Rattus norvegicus: one gene and its partners. The protein of the gene in region 5 purifies or fractionates together with the protein of the main gene of each other region. This does not show direct contact. Links are inferred from orthologs where the notes say so. Each region holds a gene or a part of one and is shown on either strand. Other genes may lie near its edges. The genes, in order: Nolc1, Tcof1, Igf1r, Mapk1, Arrb2 and Src.

Region 1 (4,205 bases), on a different chromosome or scaffold from region 5:
AGCCACTGCACCCTGCTTGTACAGCCTTGTCATGTATCTGAACACTCAGGTATTTATGGGTTAACATTTACACCAATCCCTTTCTGGGTTCTGTAGAGTTGTTCAGACTGGACTGAAACCCCAGTTCTCCTGCCTACTCTCTTACAGTGACAGCCTGTGCATGGAGATATTTTAGAATACAGACACTTGTGGGATGGAGAAGATACAGTTTTGGGGTTGGTTTTTTTTTTTTTTTTTTTTTTGTTGTTGTTGTTGTTTGTCTTCTGAAGCCAGGGTTTTTCTGTATAAACCTGACTATCCTGGATCTCACTCAAGGGATAACTGCTTCTGCCTTCAAAGTGTTGGGATTATAGTATTTCAAACTCAAAAGAACTCCTCTTCCTCCTCCTTTGCCCCACCCTCCTCTCCCTCTCTCCTCAGATCTACCTACTTTTGTCTCTCAACCCTGGGTTTCAAGGCATTTGCCACCAAGCCTATGAGAATAAAAGTTTTCTCAACTGGGGTTTGTGTCTATTAAGTGTTTCAGGTAAGCTCACCAATTTAATTTGATCACCGTCCTGGCGCGTGGATTTTTTTAAAAAAATTAATATGGATGGATGGATAGAAGCACCTCCTCTGGGAAATAGGATAACATTTCTTTTTAGAAGGAGCGACTGTTTTGAGGAAAGTAAAAGGTGTTCACAGGAAGTGCATCTTTATTGTTTCGTGAGGGATAACTAATGTGACCTGGAAAATAGCTGATAGTGGAGTTTTCAGAATTCAGTGTGACTTCTGACTTAAGGAAGAAAGGGTTATTGAGTCCCTTGATCTTTTCTCTGGAATGAACCCGTGCTCTCCTCCCCCTTTTCGAGTTGTGTATGGTTGGGATAACAGTCTTTAAACCTAGCTGTGACTGACAGTCAATGTGGGATACTAACACCTTTGTCACCACAACTTTTAGGATTGCCTTATGATTTGAGTCTCACTGGGTGTGAAGGATGTGAAGAAGTCATTGTTGGTGGGAGCTTGAGCAGTAGACGACACCTCTAGAAAGGTGAAAGAGACTCGAGTTCTCCATTCCTTTGATTATCGTGGGGTCTGAATAGCAGCCGGGGCTTGGAAACTACGTTTCTATAGATAGAAGTCCATTCAGCAGAGATAATGCGCGGGAAGTTGCAAGTTTTCCCGCCTCGGACGGGAGCGTGACCTCTGACGTAAAGCTCCGCCTCCTTGGGGGGGAAGGCTAGTGGGCTCCGCCCTTTACAGGATGACGACGCGTGTGAGACCGGAAGGAACTTATAGATTTCGCATGCGTCCTGCCTCCGGGGCGGAGGGAGCCCTGCCTCGTGGGGGCCATTCTTCCGCTGCGCGCCGCGCGACGTGATGACGACACTGGGCCCGCCCTCTACCCTGGCTGTGCTCTGGAGTTCTTCAGTCGTACCGCGTGCGCAACGGTAGTGACGCGTTTAACCCGGAGTATGGCGGATACCGGCTTGCGCCGCGTGGTTCCCAGCGACCTTTATCCCCTTGTGCTCGGCTTTCTGCGAGATAACCAGCTCTCAGAGGTGGCCAGTAAATTTGCAAAAGCGACAGGCGCTGTGAGTCCTTGGTTTGGTTTGCGGGCCGGGGTGGGACGACTCTCCAAGGTAGTCTAGGCCTTGTCAGGTTTAGAAGTCAAGAAATCGAGGTCTGGGGTCTGTCAGTCTAATGTCTGTGAAGCCTCTCTGCCGACCTTTCTGAGGCTTAAGGTCTCGGCATCTCTTTCCATCACGTCTGACTAGCTCCGAATCTTACGGCTTTTGGTGAGTTTTGCAGTGGTGGCAGGCATGGGTCCCTCGTGACCTAGGACATGTGGCGATAGATCCCTCCCGGAGCATTGGTTTGGCGGTGCCTGCTTCTGCTGTACTTTTTGTTGGACTTACACTTGGTTGCAGTTTTACCTGAGACTCAAAGATAAATTGTTACTAGTGAAGGCTAGGATCCTATTTATTTATACACTTTAAAAAATGAGTGAGTGCAGGGATAAACTGCGTAGCAATGAAAACTAGGATATCATTATTTATTTAGTTACTTAATGAATGAGTGCAGGGATAGGCTGCTTTCAGTATACCATAGAAAGCGTGAGCATCTTTCCCTGTCAAGTTGGCACTGGGCTTGGAGCTTCAGGTAGTGATATAAAGCAAATGGAGGCTTAGGCCAGATCCACCACTTTCTACATTGATGATCCTGGGCATCCTTTTATTTAAAACAAAGTTCAACCCTTTATATTGTGTATAAAAGTCCTTGTAGAGTGGAAGATGGATGTAAACTTCTGTCCCTCTTGCCTCAGCCTCCTCATCCTAAGCATGCCTGAACATAGCAGGATGCCATTTTGGTTTTTGTTGTCAAGACAAGAGTTTCTCTTTGTGTAGCCTTGGCTGTCTTGCAACTCACTTTGTAGACCAGATTGTCCTTGAACTCAGCTCTCACTCTGCCTACCAAAAGCAGGGATAAAAAGGTGTGCTCAGCCCTATTTACAGCTTTTGAGTGAATGAGATTCACCAAGCGAAAAATACACAAGCCAGTAATCTCATTGTAGACACACAGGGACCATGGGATGAGTGACAGCTATTGTGTCACTTCAAATCCATGTAAGAGCAAAATTAAGTGAAGGAATGTGAAATGTCTCGTCTGCATCTTAAGAAAAGCTGTAGTGTTCATGGAAACACCTTGAAAGACTGTGTAGACTTACGGTCTTTTTTTTTTCAGGGTGATAGCATAACTGACAATTTAGGTTTCTTCTGCTTTATTTCTATTTCTATTTTCTATGTCTCATCGTGTAACCCTGGCTAGCCTGGAACTCATATGCAGAGTAGACTGGCCTCCCAGAGATGCCCCTGCCTCTGATTCCTCAGCGTTGGAATTAAAGGCTGCACCATCATAACTGCCTGGTCCCCTCCTGTTTCTGTGGCCATTTTTGACCTGGCCTTGGCCTTATGATCTTCCTGCCTTAGATCCTGGGAATCTTGGGTTACAGGCCACCAGACCACATAAGAGAGTTCTTTGAGCCAGGGCAGCCTGGCATGTGATCTGATGATACATGCCCACCTGTTCCTGAATGGTCTTAGCCGATGGACCTTCTTCCAGTGCCCCTTACTCCTCCCCGCCCTTCCTTCTTTTTTTCCTTTTTTTCGGAGCTGGGGACCGAACCCAGGCTAGGCAAGTGGTCTACCACTGAGCTAAATCCCCAACCCCCCCACCCTTCCTTCTTAAGACATGGGGTCTCAATATATAGTTATGGCTGTCCTGGGGCTCACTGTGTAGACTTAAACTCATCTCTACTTGTCTCTCCTTCCCACATGCTAGAATTTAAGGCATATGCCACCACACCTGGAACCTTTGTTTGCTTATGTATTCTCTCATGCACGTTGGTGGTTTGCCTGCATGTAAATGTGTGTGATGTGTTAGATTCTGGAGTTCAGACAGTAGAGAGCTACCATGTGGGTGCTGGGAATTGAGCCAATTCTCCAGCCCCGCCTTTCTGACTTTTTTTTTTTTCCTTTCTGACTTTTAAAAGTCAATTGTTTAGGAAAAAAGTTAATAGTTAGAAAATATGAAGCCACAGGTGTCAGGATTGCGTGGATCTGGAGTTAACAGATGTGGGCGCTGGTAAAAGTGTGGATGGAAAGGCATAGGAATAGCTATGCTATAAAGTTTTCATGTTCAGTGTTAGGTGATATGTAAGTGGAATATTTTTCTCCTAATTTATACAAGTAGGAAAAGTCTTAAGATGTAACATCCATTTCAAATTGAGTAGGTAGTTAAAATAACTTTTTTTTTTTTTTTTGGTTCTTTTTTTCGGAGCTGGGGACCGAACCCAGGGCCTTGCGCTTCCTAGGTAAGCGCTCTACCACTGAGCTAAATCCCCAGCCCCTTAAAATAACTTTTTAAAAAAGATTTATTATATATAAATACACTGTAGCTGTCTTCAGACACACCAGAACAGAGCATGAGATCTTATTACACATGGTTGTGAGCCACCATGTGGTTGCTGGGATTTGAACTCAGGACCTCTTAACCACTGAGCCATCTCTCCAGCCAGTAAAACAACTTTTGAGACAAGGTCTCTTTACATAACCCTGGTGTCCTGGAACTCTGTATATAGTCCTCTTGGGCCTTGGCCTCACAGATCTGCCAGTCTGTCTTCCAAGTGCTGGGACCATGCCAGGCTGACAAATTACATTGAT
Region 2 (4,070 bases), on a different chromosome or scaffold from region 5:
GCGTACAGACCGTGTGGTCTCCAGTAGTAGGCATTCAATACAAATCTGCCTGATGTCTGAATGTAGATTAGTCTCCCGTGTCCTCACACAGCACATGCCACCTGCTCCTGTCACCTGGTCCTGTGTGCTTCTCCCTAGAATGTGAATGTCACTTTTCTTGTCCCTGTGGCCAGATATCACAAGAAGCAACTTACATTAGAAAGATTAACTATGGCTCACAGTTCACAGGCCATGACAGAAGGAAAGATAGGATGGCAGGAATATTGGTTACGCATCAGCAGGCCAGGAAACAGTGAAAGAAGAATGCAGGCACTCCCTACTCAGACACACCCACAGGAGTAGCTCTTAGGTAATTCTAAAGTCCAGTCACCACTAAGGATTTAATTATCATATGTGCTTATGTGGGTCCTAAACTTCAGTGGACATGTGTGTTGACCCAAATTCGTAGTGAAAGCTGTCAGCATATTCCCAACCAGTCCTTGAGGAACAGGTGCCTCAAATAGTCCCAGGCCACTCCCATTCTCTCCTGGTCACTGTACCCCTCAATAAACACAGTAGCCTACATCGGGATTTTTTTTTCTATATTTTGGACTTTCATCTTTCCAACTGTACAGCCTAGCAGTACAGGGTTGTTTGGGGTTCCCTTACCAAATACCAAAGTAATTTTCACATTCTGACTCATAGAGCACCTCCAGCCTGGCCTCTCCACAGTGCTTAAACGTCTCTGCTGTCTTTGAGGCTAATTTTAAATGTCTCTTGGGGGATAGGTGCCCTTCCTCCATGCTTCCCTGAGCTCTGTCTTCTCTCAACAAAGTGCACCAGACATCTGAACTGTAACTGCTAGGTTGTCTGCTGTGTCTCCCACCTGGGTGATTTTTGAGTCAACTGCTTGCTTTGTTTCTCTTTATATGCCCCAAGCCTAGCTAGGTGCTGTCCTAGCTCAGGTAAGGGTTTGTTTAGAGATTCAATACACCAGTGACAACTCAAGCCTTATTCGTGGGACCTAAACACTGTGAAATAAGTAATCGGAAGCAGGGGCCAGTAATCAGGAAGTTCAAAAATGAATAAAGGCGCCACAGGCATCAAATCTTTTCAAAGTGTAAATCAGAATTTAGATGCAGGAGACCTTTTTTTCTTTTTTTAAAATCATGGCCGCCCAGAGGGCGGATCCAGATCAGGACACGCCTTCGAGCCAATGGCAGAGCTGGTTAACCTCCATGGCTCAGCCCTCTTGGACCGGATAGCCCATTCCAGCGGCAAGACTACATTTCCCAGCGCGCCGCGCGGCCCGGTGACGCGAGGCCGGAAGTGAGGGACATGAGGTTCTAGGGCGCGAGGGAAGCGGCTAGCGGGGGCGAGGGGGCGTGCACGTGAATAGCCTGGCCGGATCTCTGGCATGGCCGAGGCCAGGAAGCGGCGGGAGCTGCTTCCCCTTATTTACCATCATCTGTTGCAAGCAGGCTACGTCCGCGCGGCGCGGGAAGTTAAGGAGCAGAGCGGCCAGGTAAGCGTCAGACGGCCCAGTGCAAGATCAAGGGAGCCAGTAGCCCGCGCCCCTCCCGGGAAACCCAACCAGCGCGAGTCAGAGATGTCGGCCAGGGAGCAGGAGGAACATTAAACTCTGCTCTACTCCGTGCGACTTACAGCCACCTCCCAGGCTCAGTTTCCCCATGGGTGCAGTGGGCGGGCCGGAAACTGATCCGACTAGCGCAGCTTTGTAATTCCCGCCCGGGTTCCCGGTAGCGGCAGGTTTACGTTTCCCTAGGATCTTGCCACGTGGCTCTATGTAGTTTCCCTGGGACATCACCTGGAAGTCCAGCTGGAGCAGATTGTCACCACTGTTGTTGGGAACACCGAGACGAAGGTCCCCTTAGTTGATGATCTAGCATGCAGGGCGTGCAGGCCCTTGGCTGTCTTCGGTTATGACAAGACTCGAACCCGTGGTGCACTAACTTCAAAGTTCATTCATTTGGCAACTTTTATTTGGCACTGAGGTGCAGATGATGAAATGGGGCCCCTCTGCCCGCCTCACAGCCTAGTAGATAGTACAAAAGAAACACAAAAGTGACTGTATAGTTAACTTTGTATTAAGCTGTAGAGCAAGAGATTCGAGGTGCGGAAACGTGGGTGGAAGAACCTGGGCGGGGAATATCCAGGACTGCTTCCCTGAGGATGTAGTAGTTGATCTGAGATCTAGAGGGAGATGGGTATTTAGATGCCAGGTTGGAGTGGGACTTCCAAGTGTCCTAGCCTCCAGAAAGTTTGCTGAGCCTGAAGTTTGAAATGCTTGACTATGGAGTCTCCCAAAAAGATAGAGGCAAAGCCGATAGGCAGGAATGGCCTATGGGTTGTCTTCCCAGAAGAACTGTGGTAACTGGTGAACTGGATATTGACCTGGAGGACCCCAGGTGTGGTGGCATCTGCCTTTAAAATCCCATCACTCCAGAGATTGAGGCAGGCGGATCTCTTGAATTCAGAGATAGCCTGGTCTACAAAGTGAGTTTAAGACCAGCCAAGGGCTGCATGGTGAGATCCTGTCTCAGAGAGAGACAGAGAGACAAAGAGAGCTTAAGCTGGAGTGGGGTGGGAGGGGTGGGGCACCCTGGTTTGACCTGTGCCTTTAATCCCAACACTCTGGAGGCCAAGGAGGGTTGGTTTCTGTGAGTTCAAGGCCAGCCTATTAAGTTCCAGGACAGCCCAGGCTACACAGAGAACCTCTGTTTTGAAAAACAAGTGAGTTCAAGGCCAGCCTAATAAGTTCCAGGACTGCCCAGGCTACACAGAGAACCTCTGTTTTGAAAAACAAAACAAAACAAACAAACAAACAAACAAACAAAAAAACGAACTTAAAGCCCAAAGGTTGCTGGGCCCTTAAGATGCTACCTATTGCTTTCTTAACCTTCCTGGAACTCCATGTCCATCCCTACTCAAACTATATAACTGGAAGCAGGGTATAGAGCCTATCACGTGGTTTGTGTGCCCAAGCAAGAGTGCCCTGCTCTCACAGAGAAGACACAAATACACACACACACACACACACACACACAGAGTTTGTGGCTAGCATGTTGTGGCAGGTGCTGACCATTATGAGGCTAACAAGTGGGATTCAGAGTATCAGCCTCCAGTTATAGCTAAGATGGTCAGAGAAGCTTTAATGGGGACCATGACCTTGGAGTAGAGACTAGAAGGAAATGAGAATAGGCTGTGTGGTTGGCAAGAGAGAGAAAGTTTCAGGGGCAAGAATGGCAAAGCCCTATTGGGAGCCAGTGGCCCGACTTACTTTGTTATGACACTAGGGTAGGGGCAGAATGAAGCTGACTGACTGGACTGTGCCCTTCAGACATGACAAGTTTTCTCTGTGTAGCCTTGGCTGTCCTGGAACTCTCTATAGACTAGGCTGGCCTTGAACTCAGAGATCTGCCTGCCTCCATCTCCTGGAGCAAAGGAGATACTCTGCATTTCCCTCTCACATTTATTGTTCTGTGAAGAAGGATCCTGAAGTTTGCAGAGAGAGAAGATGAACTGAGTCATGGAATAGGTGCTCTCCCTGACTCATGTTTAGGGGCTAGTACGTTCTTCCTTTGCACATAGCTCTTTGGAGTCCATTGGAGCTGTTCGGTCTTATGCACATAGAGTGCGTCCTCAGCTTAGGCCTGGATTCTACCTGTTTCCCTCTGTTTTAACTGCAACCCTAGCACCCTTTAGGCTCAGTCTCTTTCCAGACGTCCAGTGGATTCCACTGTGTCATGTGGAAGTTTTCAGGGTTTGGGCTATCTTATGTTTTGGAGTAGATTGACTAGCCAGGCCTTGGAAAACCATCCAGGGAGGTTAGGAAAGGAAAGCTCTGTCGTATGGCTTCCATCCCTGGACTGAGGTAGGGATGCTGGGTAATGCTAGTTCAATGCCTACCCCTCCCTCTCTCTCTCTCTCTCTCTCTCTCTCTCTCTCTCTCTCTTTTTTTAAGCTGGGGACCGAACCCAGGGCCTTGCACTTGCTAGGCAAGTGCTCTACCACTGAGCTAAATCCCCAACCCCAGTGCCTACTTCTCAAAGGTGCTTCTTACTGATATA
Region 3 (4,094 bases), on a different chromosome or scaffold from region 5:
CCGAGGATACTTGGGCTGGTGCTAGTTTCAAGTCACTTACGGATCAAATGAAGCTAGAGGGACGCGGAGGGGAGGGGGGATATTAGAGGCAGGTGCGGGTGGGTTTCTGCAGTGGCCACCGATCCTTGGTGACGGCTACACATTCTTAAGATTGGGACCTGAGCCAGACGACGTTGTCCGGGTTAGGGTCCCCGTCCGCAATCCCCATCCTGGGAACCCCCCGGACACGCCCCCCAGCTGCGGGTTCCCGCAGCCCGACACGCGCTGCGGTCCTTCTCCGCAGCTGCCCACGTGGTGGAGCACCGACCAGCACGATGCGGTGGAGCGCCCTCAGGGCGGGAGAGGAATGGGGCTGGGAGGCCCCGCCAGCACGACCCAGCCGAGTCGGTCCCCGACTCGGGGCCCCCACATTTCCTCCCCGGGAGGGAGGGAGGCGACATTCCCCGGGCCAGCCCTCCCGGGCTGCCGCCGCGCCCTCTGGCGGCCGCCGCGGAGACGCGTCTTGGGCACGAGGGGCCGCCTGTCTGGGTCCCCTTTCCAGGGCTCGGGACCCGCGGTGGAATCGCGGTGCTTCGAGAACAGAGGCATGCGGACCGCACCCTGTCCGCTCTCTGTCAGCGCGTAAGCACCGGAATACCCAAGGAGCACCGCCACGGGCGCCCAAGCTTGGGGTGGAAAGTGCCTTGCGTAGCAGCAGTCTCTTCAGGGGTCCCCTTTCCCCCAGGTGTGCCCCTCCCGCCGCGTCCGGGCTTTCCACCACGCTGCGAAAAAATGCCGCATGCATGCACTTATTTATTTATTTTGCAACAGCTGCAAGAAACAATGAAGCTTTTTCACAGAGCGGGCCAGCGCGCTCACCAGCCGCGCTGTTGTTGTTTTCAATGAAGCTCCGGGGCCGCACTCCCCGCCCACCGCGCCCGCAGCCCGCCCGCCCTGCCGCCGCCCCCTTGGCCACCGAGTCCCGCCGGCGCCCGGGGCATTGTTTTTTAGAGTCCTGCGGGTGGGGAGGGTGCGGACAGGGCCGGCCGGCGCAGTGCGGGTGGGGGCGGAAGCGTGGGCGCGCGCGTGGCTCAGTGTGCGCGCGGGGGCCGGCGCGGGTGGAGGCGCGGGGGGCGGTGCCTCCTGGGCCCGGCTCCCCACGCCCGCGCTCCGCTCCACACGTCCCTGCGATCCCGAACTCCGGCTCTTGGCGACTGCCGAATCGGGGCCCGGCCCTCGGCGCGCCGGGACTGCGGCTGTAGCCGCTTGGAGTGTGCGCGCGGGCACGTGTGCGCGGCCCCGAGAGCGCGCGCGTAGAGCCCCCAGTGTGTGGCGGCGGCGGCGCGGTGAGGCTGAGGTTCTTGTTTACCAGCATTAACTCCGCTGAGCGGAAAAAAAGGAGGAGGGGGAACCGAGGAGGAGCGAGCGCACCGGGCGAACTCGAGAGAGGCGAGCGACAGGGAAGCCGCCAGCGAGCCTATCCCGGCGCGCCCGGCGCTCGCAGACCCTCGGCCCCGCTCCTTGGACCCTCCACGCCTCTCCCGTGCCTGCAAGAGCTCCACGGCACGCGGCGTGCTCGGCTTTGACCTTCAGCGAGCCGGAGCCCCCGCGCACGGAGTCGGCGGCGGGCGGGGGCCGACGCGGGGCGGCGGGAGCGCTGAGCGCTGCGCGGCCGCCGCTTTGTGTGTCCTGGATTTGGATTTGGGAAGGAGCTCGCGGCGGCGGCGCTGAGGGAGGAGGCGGCGGCGAGCGGAGCCCAGAGGAGGAGGAGGAGCCGGAGGAGGGGGAACCGCTCATTCATTTCCACTCAGCATTTCTGCCCCTCGCCGGCCTCGCCCGCGCCCGGGACTTCGGACCAGTCTCGCCAACTGCGTCGGGCTCTCCCGCCGCGTAGGCTCGGGTGGTCGTTCCCTCCGGGAATCGGGGGCGTTTGTCCCCGCCTGCGGCGATTTGGGCTTTGCTCCTCTTTCTGTACAGTTTTCCTCCCTCTTCTGCATCTCTGGGTTTGCAAATGGAGGCCGACGACACCGACAGCCCGCCCCGGCGCGCCCCGGCTTCCCTACTCCGCCGCCCCGTGGGCCGCTGCTGCCGGCGCTGAGGGGCCGCCCCGCGCCACCCTCCCTGTCCACGCCGCTTTCCGAGGATCTTCGCTCTTGTTTTTGGACGAGAGTGAGGACTGAGTTGAAGACTTTTTTCTTTTTTTTTTCTTTTCTTTTCTTTTCTTTTCTTTTTTTTTTTGAGAAAAGGGAATTTTGTCCCAAATAAAAGGAATGAAGTCTGGCTCCGGAGGAGGGTCCCCGACCTCGCTGTGGGGGCTCGTGTTTCTCTCCGCCGCGCTCTCGCTCTGGCCGACGAGTGGAGAAAGTGAGTATTTGCCCGCCGCCCGCGGCCACTGCGGGAACTTTTCCTCCGAGGGGCTGCGCCCTGTTTGGGAAAACCCAGTTGCCACGGGCGCAGCTGTCGGACTCCGGGGCTCGGGAGCGGAGGGTGGGGCTCTCCCGGAAGGCCAGAGCGGATCGGGGCCCGAGTTCACGGTTCAGGAGCTCCAAGAGCCTGAGTTCAGCGCATCTGCGCGCGGGAAGGGCCTCGGGGCTTTCTCTTTCGCTGTCCCAGGAGCGCTGTCCCGCACGCGGCCTGGTGGGTGGGCAGTGCCTCCTCCCTAGCGGGTCAGGGGCAGCCTACTCCTGGGCACTTGGTGGGGAAGTTGGCATCTGGGTGTCTCCGGGAGCCCCGCTGCCCTCGTCTCCCCCCTCCGGGGCGCGCCACTTGGCACCCCAGCGCCCATCCAGCGCTGCGCACCATGACAGCACCCTTGGAGGCTCCACGGGTGTGTCCTAGGGTAGACCGACCTAGTACTTCGTGTTGGCCAGCCAGAGCCTTCTGCCCCGCGGGGTGCAAGTTGTCCTTGAGGGGGAGGTACGGGATGGGGAAGCCTCGCGGCCCCAGGACACGTTTCCAAACATCACGGCGCGGCCTTATATCACCCAACTTGTTGGGCCCATCGGGCCCCTCTGGTTCTTGGCCTTTCGCATCTCTGGAACCTGTAGGTGTCTAGTCCCCACCTCTCCCAAGACTTGGTAACTTGGGCTTCCCGGTGTGGCCTTGGGGTGCGGGGTGTGCTCCCCAGCTTCCCCTAAGGAAGTGTGAGCTTAAAACTTTCATCAGACGCCTGTGTGTGTGTGTTGGGGGGGGGGGGGCTTGGATGATACCCAGCTTAGAGGTTCCTTGGGCTCTCAGTTTCTACCTCGCTCTGGACACTTTTCCCCAGAAGTGTCTTAGTAAGAGGAGTTAGAGACATCCACCCATGTGCAGAGTCGACGTGCATTTCCACACACACGTGCTCTCCGCGCGGATTTAGGTGCATCCACAGCCATACGACCACGAGGTGACAACTGGACTGGCAAGAGATGTGCGGTGGCTTGAGCTGCGACAGGATCTGTAGTATGGTAGTGGACGGGTGGTTGTTTTGTTTTGTGAACGCGGAGCCCTGGCCTTGGTTTTGTTGTGCCCAAAGTTGTGTTGCATTGCCAACCCCCCCCCCCCCCCCCCCCCCCCCCGCCCCGCACTTCCTTTGTACATACTTAATAAGCAGTATCGCTCCATGCTCGCTATCGCTTGCAATCTGATAGCTTTTGTTTTGGTGGTGTCGGGTAGGAGTAGGTGGTGGTGGTGGGGTGTCTCTGGGAATGAGAACTCTCCACAGTGTATGGGGGCAGCAGGAGGAGGAGGGGGTTTTGTTCTCGAGAAAAACAGTGGCATACTGGTACTTCAGAGATGGTAGAGTAATTTGAACGCGATTAAAACTTTAAATGCAGTCTCTTGAGTTGGGGCTGGGGAAGTGAGGGCGTGCGGATGAGTAATGTTTGCAGAATGTATGCAGGTGGTGCCTATTAACTTCGAAAAAATCACGACCTAGCCTTGAGGAGTTAGCAAGGGGGAAACGATGGAGGCTGCGCGGGCCGTGCGGCCCCACCACTGCCGTAGTTCACAAAGGCTGTTTCTATAAACAAACCCTGAGCCTCTTTTAAGAAATATCTACGATGGAGTCCGAGCAGGTCTTTAAAGAACTGTAGCTGTAGTAAGCCTAGTGTAAGGCGCAGACTAGGGCCGACCCC
Region 4 (3,500 bases), on a different chromosome or scaffold from region 5:
ACTTGCGCAGTTTTCGGGCTGGAGCCTAATAACTTAGCCAACACAGTAAGCAAACCTAAAGCTAAGCTTAAGAAAAGCTGTCGTGAAGCAAGTCTTACCTTTGGAGTCAGCGTTTGGGAACAACCTGTTCCACGGCACCTTATTTTTGTGCGGGAGAGAAAGCAAATAGTTTCTAGCTTTTAAATTTATTATACAATTCAGATCTTCCTGTGATGGAGATCCAAGAATACCTATCAGACAAAACATTAGCTGTTAATTGTCAAGATTAAGGACAAATTACTACACACATCACCTATGGGACAAAAGAGATTCTGTACTTAATGTACTGAATGTACTTAATGCACTTCAAGTTTCTACAAAAGGATGTTTAATATTTTTAAAGTAGAGAAGATGTAAACAGAACAAACCAACCATGCCAATAGTGAGTCTGGTGTGACTAACGTAAATGGAAACCGTGCTCAAGCTTACCCAGGATGTGATTCAGCTGGTCAAGGTAATGCTTTCCTGGGAAGATAGGCCTGTTGGATAGCATCTCTGCCAGGATGCAGCCCACAGACCAAATATCAATGGACTTGGTATAACCCTGCAACACAAAGGGAGAAAAGACAGAGTAACAGAGTGTAGTGTCCACAACAACATGAGGAGATCTCTCTATGTAACAGCCTTGAGGCAGATGAGAGTTGAGCATCTTCTTCGAGACAATCATTGGGAAACACAGGGACACACAGAATGAAAAACAACAGATTGGCTTTCTACAGAGGTGCCATCAGGGGGTGGTGATGTACACCTTTAATCCCAGCACTCAGGAGGCAGAGGCAGAGGCAGAGGCAGGAGAAGCCGTTCTGCTCTGATGATGAATTGCATTGTGGAACTGTAGGCAGAAATAAACTTTTTCTCCCCAATTTGCTCTAGGTCATGACATTTTATCATAGCAACAGAAATCCAAAAAAGACAGATGCTGAATCATTATAAATACATTATGTTTATCTCTTGAAATTATTACATTAGAACTTCTGAAATATACCTCAGTCCATTTTTAAAAGTTAGAGATTTAGAATTATTACAAACTAGAACTAGAAAAAGTACTAATGCTCATTATTTATATATCATTCAGCTAATTTTTATAAAGTTGGAAATCAACTTACATGAATAACACTATATTCCTGGAACAACTTTATCCATTTTGTAAATAAAAAAAAAAAAAAAAAAAAAAAAATCCAGGCTGGACGCCCTTCTCTCCCCACCCTAGGTGATGGTTTCAACATTCATCTTTTCTATTTACTCCTTAGGTTCTTTCTTTTTAAAGGAAGTCTGTTCAAAGTCACATAGTTTATTTCAATGTAACAATAGTTCAAGATGCTTTCACAGGGAACACGAGCTAAATTTTGTGGAAAATGTTAGGTATAGTAATAAGTGAAAAGGGAAATGTAAGCAACAAGAGAAAAAAGCCAACCAGTAAATTTAGAGTGAGTTGATTTTGGAAAACCAAAGAACCAGTGACTACAGTAATGATAAGACAGGATTTTAAGTAATTGTTTCTAAATCTCTTGTAATCTACCAAAGGTAAATAAATGGATCAATGAAAACCGCAAAAATAACATATGCGAATAAACAGATAGGGAATGAGGCCTCGAGAGGGAGAAGAGCCTGTTCTAGGGCTGGGACAGGAGTGTACACAGCAGTCCGCAGCAGCTGATGCCAAGGAATAGCAGGGAACTGTCCAAGGCTGCTTGCTGGGGAGTGGTCCAAATCCTGGAGAGTGAGTGGATTGTAACTCAAGAGAATAAATAATAGGGGAAACTAAACGACAAAAGGTAGTAATAGTTATCTTTCCACTATCTTTAAAAGAGTTTGATGAAAAACAAAATTTCATAGTCAAACTAGTTCCTCTCAAACTAGGGACTAAGCTGCAGTGTTCTGGAAATGATCCAGAAACTGCACTCATCATAGCACATACAGTTTCTGCCTTTGGATATAATGAACTTAACCTCGTTTCTTTCTTTCTCTTTCTTTATTTTTTTAAAGATTTATTTATTATATATGAGCACACTGGGTTCCTATTCAGACACACCAGAAGGGGGCATCGGATCTCATTACAGATGGTTGTGAGCTACCATGTGGTTGCTGGGATTTGAACTCAGGACCTCTGGAAGAGCAGTCAGTGCTCTTAACCACTGAGCCATCTCTCCAGTCTCTTAACCTCATTTCTTGTTATCAACATTAAAGGCACACACAAAAGTGAAACCCTGAGCCAGTGCTGCATTCCTCACAAACAGCATGAATTAGATAGAGCGGGTCACATGCTGTGTGCTGAGACACTGACTATGCAGTTTGGCAGAGGACTCCTGCAGAGGGCCCAGGAGTTTATTTCCCAGCCATACTGAGCAGCACACAACAATGCCTGCAATTCCAGGGCATCCAACACTACTGGTACCTTTAGGCACCAAACATGTGCACAAACCCATATAGACACACAGTTACAACAAAACAAACAAAACAAAGAACAAAAACAAAAAAACTACCAGGAAAAAGCAAACGCATATCCAAACTGAACCTCAATGTTGTAAACAGTGCTCAATTTTGCCTACCATCTTACAATTCTAACGAAGAATGCATACTTCATTTTCCCCCCTGGCAGTTGTAAATCTATTCAATCATCTTCAATTGCTTTTTGTGACAAAGTATTAATAGCCTGGGCTGGTCTCAGGCTTGTGGTAATTCTACCTTTGCTTCCTGAGTACTGACATTATGCTTGCTTGTCCCCCTTTTTGTTTCTTTTCTTTTCTTTCTTTTTTTTTTTTTGTGGAGAGAAGGCCTCTTTATGTAGTCTGGGCCGTCCTAGAACTTGCTAAGTAGAATCACAGACTTCTGTCTGCTCCTGCCTGCATGCGAGGATTAAGGACATGCACCACCACCTATTAGCACAACTCAGGCCTTATTAGCAGAGTCTGGATGGCCTGATATACCCTTCACAACAACTCGGAGAGGAGGAGCAAGGGTTTCAGTTTGAAACATAACTACCCTATAATTTCAATGGTCCATAGTGGCTCTGTTCTCTCTGCACCCAGTAATTTTGCTGGAGAGATAGTCTTCGTTATCAGACAACCTGACCTTTGTAGAACAGCTCTGGAACATTTGCACAGAAACACACCTTACTAGAAACCCCAATAACATAAAGAACAGGTATGGACGTTGCCATGGGGGGTATTTTAGTAGTATGTATGGGGAAGGGACATAGGTGTCTACAGTTATTGTGACTGAAGATGGTGAACCCTAACCCAAAAAGTCCAGTTCTCAAACAGCTCGGTCCAGACATACAGTCTCTGGCTCTGTCCAGATATACAGGCTGAGGGCTGGAGAGGAAGGTTATAGCCATTGTTTCTTTTTCTTACCTTGGAATTCAACATAATTTCTGGAGCTCTGTACCAACGCGTGGCTACATACTCTGTCAAGAACCCTGTATGATCATGGTCTGGATCTGCAACACGGGCAAGGCCAAA
Region 5 (4,168 bases):
TGTCGTCTTCCGCCAAACCCAGTCAATGCTGCCCCAGCAATGAACCTCTAATATGGCCCCTCTGCTCCCCTCCACTCTCTGTTCATCATTTTCCCTCGGCTAGCTTATCTTCTAGCGAGCGGTCTCGCTATGCGACACGTTACCCAAAAAGAGAAGTCCTATCTCGACATTCCTCTGGTGAAAGCAAAACCCAATCAAATCAGCACTGGGCTGGAATTAGTGGTGAGCTAAGCATATGTGAGGCCCTAGCAGAAAATTAAATTAAATTAAATTAAATAAAGACTACAGTTCCTCGGGCTCTTTCTTTCACCTGCTATACACAGTCTTCCACCGTCTCTTCTATTCCTCCGCAGCTCTACCTCCTGCCATCTAACCCACAGACATTTTAGAACAGGGCGTGCTTTTCCTTACTCATCTTTAGGATGTCCTTTCCCCACTTCTGTCCATCCTTCAGAAGGGCTGTCCTCAAATTTCCTATGCTATGGAGTGACTGCACTCCCTCCTCCACGCTGGCCAAGCGCTTTTAGGCTTTTAGTTGCTTGATGGTCTGAGTCATATCTATTATAGCGTTCCTGGGAGCATAATACCTGTTTTATATGTCTCACGGATCCCAGGAAACTTAGGCCATGATGTTGTCCCGATGGCTCTGCACAGTGACTTACACAAAATAGGCAGGGAGGGAAGGATGAAGAATGGAAGAGATAAGTGGAGTAGGTGAATGATGGCTAGGATAGACGGTAAGGGAGATGACAAAGTCTGAATGTTTTAAAGTGACACTGCAAAAAAAAAAAAAAAAAATCAAAGACAATACACCAGGGGGAGCTGAAGACCACGAGAACGCGGGAAAGGTAGGCCAAACAAGGCTGCAAGCTCAGGGATGAGCAGCGCATACCAAAGCAAGCATCATCACGCAACAGATACGGCTCACCCACGTGGGCAGCCCCTTGGTGCTCAGACCCAGACAGTGTTTGAGCTCATTCCCACCGCCCCCTCGATCCCGTCCCTCCTCCGCTACAGTGAAAGCAAACAAAGGGGAGGGATCCCTGCAGGGCTATGGATACCAACGGCCAATCAGCTGCTTCTAAACTTCTCGAAGGCGGCCGCCTCCATTTTAAGGGGCCCAATCTAGTTCCAAAGGCTTGAGGAGGGGCGGGGAGATCGAGAGTAGGGACGGCGCGAGGAGGCTTCCCCGAGGGAGACTGAGGGCGGAGGCGTGGGGCGGAGCCAGCTCGAAGAGGGCGGGCTGCGCCGCGGCGCGCGGGCTCCGGCTGACGCAGCTGGCCCCAGCTCCCCTAGACCCAGACCGCGAGGGGAGGGGAAGGAGGAGAAAGAGTGAGGACGCGCGTGCGCAGTGACTCGGGGAGGAGTGGGGACCTGGCAGCGGGTGAGAAGGCTGCGAGCGAGCCGCGAACCCGGCGGGTGGAGGGCGGCGAGCGCGCGCGCACCATGGGTGAAAAACCCGGGACCAGGTAAGGGAGGTGGGGCCGTGCCGCGGGGCATGGGCGGCTGCTCGCGGAGTGTGCCAGGTTGATCCACAGACAAGGACACCGGGGAAGAAACCCCGGGGCCGGACGCCTGGGTCCCTAGAGGGTAGCTGTCCGGGGCCGCAAGCCTAGGTCCTTGAGGATATTGGAGTGGGGGTGCGTGCTGGGGCTCCTGCAAAAAGCAAGACTTGATAGAGATCGGGAAACCCACGCCTGGGTTCTCACAGAGATGTAGGAGTCGGACTACTGGGTTCTCTGCAGGCTGTGATGCAGGGGCGGAGGAAGGAGGAGCAGGTGGCCGGCCCCGAGGGGTTGTGTGCTGGGAGACTGGATGCTGGGAAGGGATTCCCCTAGACTCGTGCCCAACCAATGGAAAGCCTCCTGCCCAATACCCCACAGTCTGATTGCTCCCACCTGTCCCAAGGGTCGGATAGCTCTGCTACCAAACTTCTGCCTTCTCCTAGGTTGCTAGGAGCAACAGCTTCTTGAGAGAGTAGAGTGCATAGGGACCCTCGCTGAAATTGGGCTTTATTCCTGTCCTGGGGAGAGAGAGAGGTAGTATCTGCCCTGGACACACATCCTCTCCCCGGATGTTTTCTGTGCAATCGAGGCTCCTTCCTTCCACTGATACCAGAGTTCTCTTTTTTGGTCTATAGCAAAATCCACTTCCTGTTGTGACCCAACACCCCCAGGAGGACATGGGGTGAATACTTGAGTTCCAAAGGAGCAAGAACTAAATAATAGGTTGGGGCCATGTGCCTCAAGCCAGAGAGGACCAAGGATAAGGGCCTGATTATGAACAGTGACTTCTGCAAAACATGAGACCAACCCCACCACTCCCACTGCCCTTAAGTATTAAGAAGACCAATATCTGAGAGAGATGCTTACAGGGAAGATTGACCTCCTAGATTTGAGGTTAAACTAAACCCCAGAGAAAGGAGAAGTCACTTACTTGGGGGGGAGGCCCCCAAATTTCCGTTGAGTACTTCAGGGAGGGAATAGATGGACCAAAGAAAGACTGCTGACTTGGCATAATTCCCTACCATCTCATCAAATTCTGGGCCAGAGGAAATGGCGAGAATGGCAGGAAGTACAAAGAGGCATCTGCTTTAGCTGCACCCCTCCAAGCTGGGTACCTCCCTGGTAATTCCCTTGCTCTGCCTTCTTGGCCAAGCACACTGTGCACGCTGCGCCCTCCCTAACCATGGCTGGGTAAGAGCAGGGCAACTGACGGAGATACAATGATTGTGTGGTCGTCACAGGTTCTGCCAGGGCTCCCAGTGGGGGAAAATACAAGACAGGAGGAAACCAGAAGTAGGAGAAAGAGCCAACCTAGGTGATGTCCAAGCTGTCAGCCCTAATTGGGACAGAAATTAGAGTGATTATTCTAACCGCCACCATGTCCAAATGTGCCTTTATTACTTGGGGATACTTAGGGCAGCCTATGTATATGCCATGTGACCCTAAGTGTGTGTGGCCCAGTGATGTATGGGCAGCTTGGCTTTGGGGAAGGAGGAGACAAGTGGTTTTTCCAAGCAGAAACTCACATAGTGTGTTGAAGGGAGGATGGAACTCTGGGCAGTTTTCAGCCTGTTATCTGGGGGCCCTTTCAGGAATTGCTCCGGAGCCAAAAGGCCTTAGAAGGGGTAGAGTTGTTCTTGGAAGAACAAGCCAAGGAATGGCCAGAGCTCTGGGGTCACTAGACAGTTTCCTATCCTCCTAGCCGTGGGTGGAGTCTAGACTTAGGTTGTTCTAGTGTCTGTACAGAAAAATCCCCTTAGACTTGACAAACTGTGACAGGCGAGCTTCACGACTTAGTGGTTGAGAACAGGGTCTTGAAACCAGGGTGCCTTCCTCAGGTTTATATCCGAGTCCCACCCTGTACCTTCTCTGTGACCTTTGACAAAATTCTTGTTTGCCGTAAAGCCGGGGTCTTTTAGCCTCTGTCACTGGGCGATAAGAGCTGTAAACGCAGTTGGTACAGTGCTAGAACACAGCAGTCACCAGTCAATGTTAGCCAGAATCACCATGTTTGTCACAGGATGCTACTGTGTGGGGACCACAGTGGGTTTTTTTGTTTTTGTTTTTTTTTAAGCTGCTGAGGTCAGAAACGGGGCTGTTGGAGGTTCATGAAATAGTCAGACTTGGGGACAGAAACATCTGAGGGGCAAAGACTCTGCTCCAGGAGTCACTGTGTGAGTCCTTGAAGCTAGAGGTCAGTTAAAGAGTTCATCTGAGTGTGGTAGTTCGTGCCCCTTCATCCTAGCACCAAAGAGACAGAGGTAAATGGATCTGAGTTGGGGCCAGCCTGGTCTACAAGTCAAGTTCCAGGCTAGCCAGAGTTACATACTAAGGCCAAGGTCAAAAGGGAGGGAGGAGTGTTAGGTGTGACCCAGACATTGTGTAGCCATCAGTTGACTCTTGGTTTCGGAGAGGGTCCCTCAGGAGAGCCTGAATAGTTGGCTGGGGCAAACAGTGGCCATTTACTATAAGCGGAGGAGTGAGTTAGTAACATCAACAGCAAAGAGGAAAGGCCTGACAGTTGGCTTCAAGAGGCTTCAAATACCGGTGGGAAGCAGTAAAAAAAAGCAGTGGGAAGGGTCGAGCAGGGATCCAGGGTGAATTCCATTTCTCTGGGGGGAGGGATAAATCCCGGCGTGGTGGTCCCTGCCCAGCCTAAGGGA
Region 6 (3,500 bases), on a different chromosome or scaffold from region 5:
CCAGGGATGTGACACAGTTGTAGATGTGTTCTCAGGATGGGAACAGAAGCAGTGTGCCCCTCTGTTTCCCTTTTCCTTTTCCCAGGGGCCTTTTCTGGCCTTGCCCTTCCCCCACAGACTGTCTCCGCTCTGATTCTGTCCTTTCTCCCAGCCCATCACCATGGCAACCAAGCCAGGCTGCTTCTTGTGGGCCTGGGGCTCAGCAGGAGATGGAAAAGTGCTCGTGCTGTGCCCCCTGTGTGCTGTGCACAGTACACGATGATGGGTGTGTGTGTGTGTGTGTTTGTGTGTGTGTGTGTGTGTGTGCGCGCGCGCGAGCATGCTCCTGCACTGCTGGGCTTGGAGGGTGCTGCTGGAGTGAAATGTGGTGTGGCCTGGCTCCTGGGGCTTGGGGATATGTGGCCACAGGGCATAGGTATGGCCACCAGCCTGTGCCTTCTGTGTGCACATGAAGTGGGCAGACTGTAGGAAACATGACTTCCCAGTATTGTTTGAGACAGGTTGAGTGTTACCAGAAGATCATCATATTTACCTGCAGAGGTTCACTGGGGCTCCAGGGACCTCCTCAGCGGGTGGTGGGCAGTCCTTCCGCTCAGCACTCCCTACTACCCAGCAGGTCGCTCGACCCTGTGCCCCACCTCTATCTGAGTCGATCCAAGCTTTATTTAACAAAGGTTTCTGTTCAGAACATTACCAGCTGCAGTTCTTCTAGGCTCCAGAGAGGCCAGGCAGGGGCACAGCCTGCAGGCCACACTCAGAATGTACCTCCTGCCCAGGGCTAATTACTCCCATGTCCACATAACCAACCCAGTGGCTACTCCTGTCTGCTCAGCTGGTGTTCAGTAAGCAGATGAGGACAGAGTGGGCATACAGAGAGCGCAGTAGCCAGCATTTATGGAGTGCTTGCGGAGTATCCTATGAATCTTCACAATAGTGTCATTGTGCAGGGGAGGAAACAGAGAGGACAAGCTACGGCTAGTTAGGGTCACACAGTTGTGAGCACATTTGGGACTCAGACGTCTTACCAGGGCTGCGAGTTTGGGGGAGGGGGTCTCTGCCATTGGGGGTTTTGTGATTTGCCTGGCTGTGCCCGGAGCCCGCTCCTCTAGGCACATTAGGGGCTGAAAGAGAGTGGAACCAACTCACTTCCTCAAGCAAGAAGCACACTAGCAGGGTGCCTCGGGGTCTCCTCCCTGTCTACCCACAGGTGCCTACTGCCTCTCTGTATCCGACTTTGACAATGCCAAGGGCCTAAATGTGAAACACTACAAGATCCGGAAACTGGACAGTGGCGGATTCTACATCACCTCCCGCACGCAATTCAACAGCCTGCAGCAGCTTGTGGCTTACTACTCCAGTGAGTGTTCCCGGCCGCGTGGGGACTCACCCAGGGGAGCAGGGTGCCACAGGGTGTGCCTCCTCACCCCTGGAATGCCTCTACCCTCCCTGCCTCTCCTCCATCTTCTCCTTTCTCCCCTCTCTCTCCGCCCAGCCTCTCCTTCCTCCGCAGCTGGCTGGTGAGGAGGGGGTCTGCCTTGAGCAAGCTAGAGGGGAGGGGCCAGAGGCTGGTGCTGATTGTTTCTGCAGCCCTAAGACTGGTCTGAACCGGTTCCTGGGAGAGAAGGAGGGGGAGGCTTCTTTGACAGAGAGCAGCAGAGCCGGCGTGCGGGTGCGGGCGCGGGCGCGGGCGCGGGCCGTGTGCAAAGATGGGCTTGGTGTGCACCCTTCTGTGCGGGGGCTGCCTCCTCGGTCTGGGCCTCCAGCCTCTCTAGGACTAGCTGCCCTCTGTCCGTCTGCTTCTACTCTGGGGACCATTTGATTCCCAGACCAAATCCTCCAGGAACCTTGTGATACAGTTCCAAGGCTCCAAGCCCCGGGGGCCTTTACCTGCCGGTTCCTCCAACGTCACCTGCTGCTTCCCACCTCCCGGCCTCTCTTCCAACCCCTCAGTTGATCTTGCCTTGTGCCCTGGCATAGGTGATGTGCTGTATGGGGTGCCACCTAGTTACCCCCCCAAATCAAGGCCAGGAACCTGCCTTCCAGGGCTCCCAAAGGATTACTAAAGCCTGCTTGACTCCCCACTCCCAAACTATCCTCCGTGGCATCTGTGTGCTGAGATCTTGCTAGGTGACTGGGGTGTGGGTGTGGCCTCCCTAGAGCAGGCTCTCACACCTGTTCCTCACTGGCTCTATACTCCCAAATATGGTGGGTAACTGAACGAATGAGAGATTTGAGCAGGTGACTTTTGTGCCACAGGCCCTTGGGGAATAGAGGTCTACAGGAGGGTGTCTGCCTGTCCCCAGAGCTAACGTGCACACGATGCCTAGGGCCATACACACAGGACAGGGAGGCCAGCTTGCTGTGGGATCCTGCCTGAGCCCCATTTCCTACTTCCGTCTCCAGAACATGCTGATGGCCTGTGTCACCGTCTCACTACCGTGTGTCCCACATCCAAGCCTCAGACCCAGGGCCTGGCCAAGGATGCGTGGGAGATCCCCCGGGAGTCCCTGCGGCTGGAGGTCAAGCTGGGCCAGGGTTGCTTCGGAGAGGTGTGGATGGGTAAGGAACACAGCCCTATCCTCATCCCAGCTAGACAGCTCAAAGACCTGAGTCCCTGCCTTTAATTGTCTCTGCTGAACAACTGGGCTCTGGTTTTGTTTTGTTTTATTGCCTTACATTAACTATGCAAATTATTACGTTTTCCCTGTGACATTTTCAAACTCACCTGTAATATACTTTGCTCCTCACCCTCACCCCCATACACACTATGACTCAACTAGGGTCAGCACTGAGGGTGGGCACCTGACTCCTTGTAGCCCATGCCGCTGGAGACTAGGGCATCTGGGTACCAAGAGCTGCTGGGGACTGGGCACCATGGTCCTCAAGGGCCTGAGTGAGTGTGGCCAGGTCTCACACCACGCCTCAGCCTCCTGATGTGAACACGGGGTTGATGTTAAGCTTCAGGAGGCATCTGCATGTTAGTTCAGCACAGAGAGAGACAGTGCTGTGCGGAGGGAGTAATGGGAAGTAGGTGTCCGGTCTCCCGTCTAATTGTGCAGCCGTTGGGAGGCCCTTGGGACAGTCACTGAGCTGTCCTAGCCAAACCCGGCTCCCCTGCTGTCAGCTGCTTTCTGCCCACCCAGGAGGAGTAAGGGGACTGTTGGGACTTAGTGGCCGTTTCCACTTCACTGTCTTCTTTTCAGAGGGCATTAGAGGGGTTGGGCCAGGTAGGCAAGGGACGTCCTGGGTTGTGAGGAGAAAGGGCAGATGGAGAGGCCAGCTTTAAAACAGACCAAAAGGAAGGTTTGTACAGAGCCTGGGTGAGCCACAGTCTTGGTCCTTCTCAACCTTAACTGTGATTCTTGGTATGTGGTGGGGATCTGAGGACTTGCCACTTTTTCCTGGAGTTCTGCACAGACCAGCAACCTCCAGGAATGCTGGCCCTACCCTCAGACCCCGCCCCTGTGGCAAGGAGGTCTCCCAGGCTGGCCTGTCTGTTC

The links.
Region 1: the proteins of Arrb2 (region 5) and Nolc1 purify together in Homo sapiens (affinity purification with mass spectrometry; 5 studies listed by BioGRID and IntAct, counting the BioPlex papers as one, with this or other methods). This does not show direct contact. The link is inferred for Rattus norvegicus from reciprocal best matches to the Homo sapiens genes ARRB2 and NOLC1.
Region 2: the proteins of Arrb2 (region 5) and Tcof1 purify together in Homo sapiens (affinity purification with western blotting; 4 studies listed by BioGRID and IntAct, with this or other methods). This does not show direct contact. The link is inferred for Rattus norvegicus from reciprocal best matches to the Homo sapiens genes ARRB2 and TCOF1.
Region 3: the proteins of Arrb2 (region 5) and Igf1r purify together in Homo sapiens (affinity purification with western blotting; 4 studies listed by BioGRID). This does not show direct contact. The link is inferred for Rattus norvegicus from reciprocal best matches to the Homo sapiens genes ARRB2 and IGF1R.
Region 4: the proteins of Arrb2 (region 5) and Mapk1 purify together in Homo sapiens (affinity purification with western blotting; 3 studies listed by BioGRID and IntAct, with this or other methods). This does not show direct contact. The link is inferred for Rattus norvegicus from reciprocal best matches to the Homo sapiens genes ARRB2 and MAPK1.
Region 6: the proteins of Arrb2 (region 5) and Src purify together in Homo sapiens (affinity purification with western blotting; 4 studies listed by BioGRID and IntAct, with this or other methods). This does not show direct contact. The link is inferred for Rattus norvegicus from reciprocal best matches to the Homo sapiens genes ARRB2 and SRC.

The regions. Positions count from the first base shown.
Region 1 is NC_086019.1:254,868,954-254,873,158, forward strand, and holds the start of Nolc1 (nucleolar and coiled-body phosphoprotein 1), read left to right. Parts: upstream 1-1,405; 5' UTR 1,406-1,457; coding exon 1,458-1,577; intron 1,578-4,205. UniProt on the Homo sapiens protein: Nucleolar protein that acts as a regulator of RNA polymerase I by connecting RNA polymerase I with enzymes responsible for ribosomal processing and modification.
Region 2 is NC_086036.1:56,567,928-56,571,997, reverse strand, and holds the start of Tcof1 (treacle protein), read left to right. Parts: upstream 1-1,270; 5' UTR 1,271-1,396; coding exon 1,397-1,504; intron 1,505-4,070.
Region 3 is NC_086019.1:130,958,703-130,962,796, forward strand, and holds the start of Igf1r (insulin-like growth factor 1 receptor isoform 1 precursor), read left to right. Parts: upstream 1-1,294; 5' UTR 1,295-2,249; coding exon 2,250-2,343; intron 2,344-4,094. UniProt on the Homo sapiens protein: Receptor tyrosine kinase which mediates actions of insulin-like growth factor 1 (IGF1). Binds IGF1 with high affinity and IGF2 and insulin (INS) with a lower affinity. The activated IGF1R is involved in cell growth and survival control.
Region 4 is NC_086029.1:97,482,826-97,486,325, forward strand, and holds part of Mapk1 (mitogen-activated protein kinase 1), read right to left. Parts: coding exon 3,393-3,500; intron 584-3,392; coding exon 469-583; intron 231-468; coding exon 99-230; intron 1-98. UniProt on the Homo sapiens protein: Serine/threonine kinase which acts as an essential component of the MAP kinase signal transduction pathway. MAPK1/ERK2 and MAPK3/ERK1 are the 2 MAPKs which play an important role in the MAPK/ERK cascade.
Region 5 is NC_086028.1:55,644,234-55,648,401, forward strand, and holds the start of Arrb2 (beta-arrestin-2), read left to right. Parts: upstream 1-1,368; 5' UTR 1,369-1,446; coding exon 1,447-1,469; intron 1,470-4,168. UniProt on the Homo sapiens protein: Functions in regulating agonist-mediated G-protein coupled receptor (GPCR) signaling by mediating both receptor desensitization and resensitization processes.
Region 6 is NC_086021.1:166,551,188-166,554,687, forward strand, and holds part of Src (proto-oncogene tyrosine-protein kinase Src), read left to right. Parts: intron 1-1,207; coding exon 1,208-1,357; intron 1,358-2,403; coding exon 2,404-2,559; intron 2,560-3,500. UniProt on the Homo sapiens protein: Non-receptor protein tyrosine kinase which is activated following engagement of many different classes of cellular receptors including immune response receptors, integrins and other adhesion receptors, receptor protein tyrosine kinases, G protein-coupled receptors as well as cytokine receptors.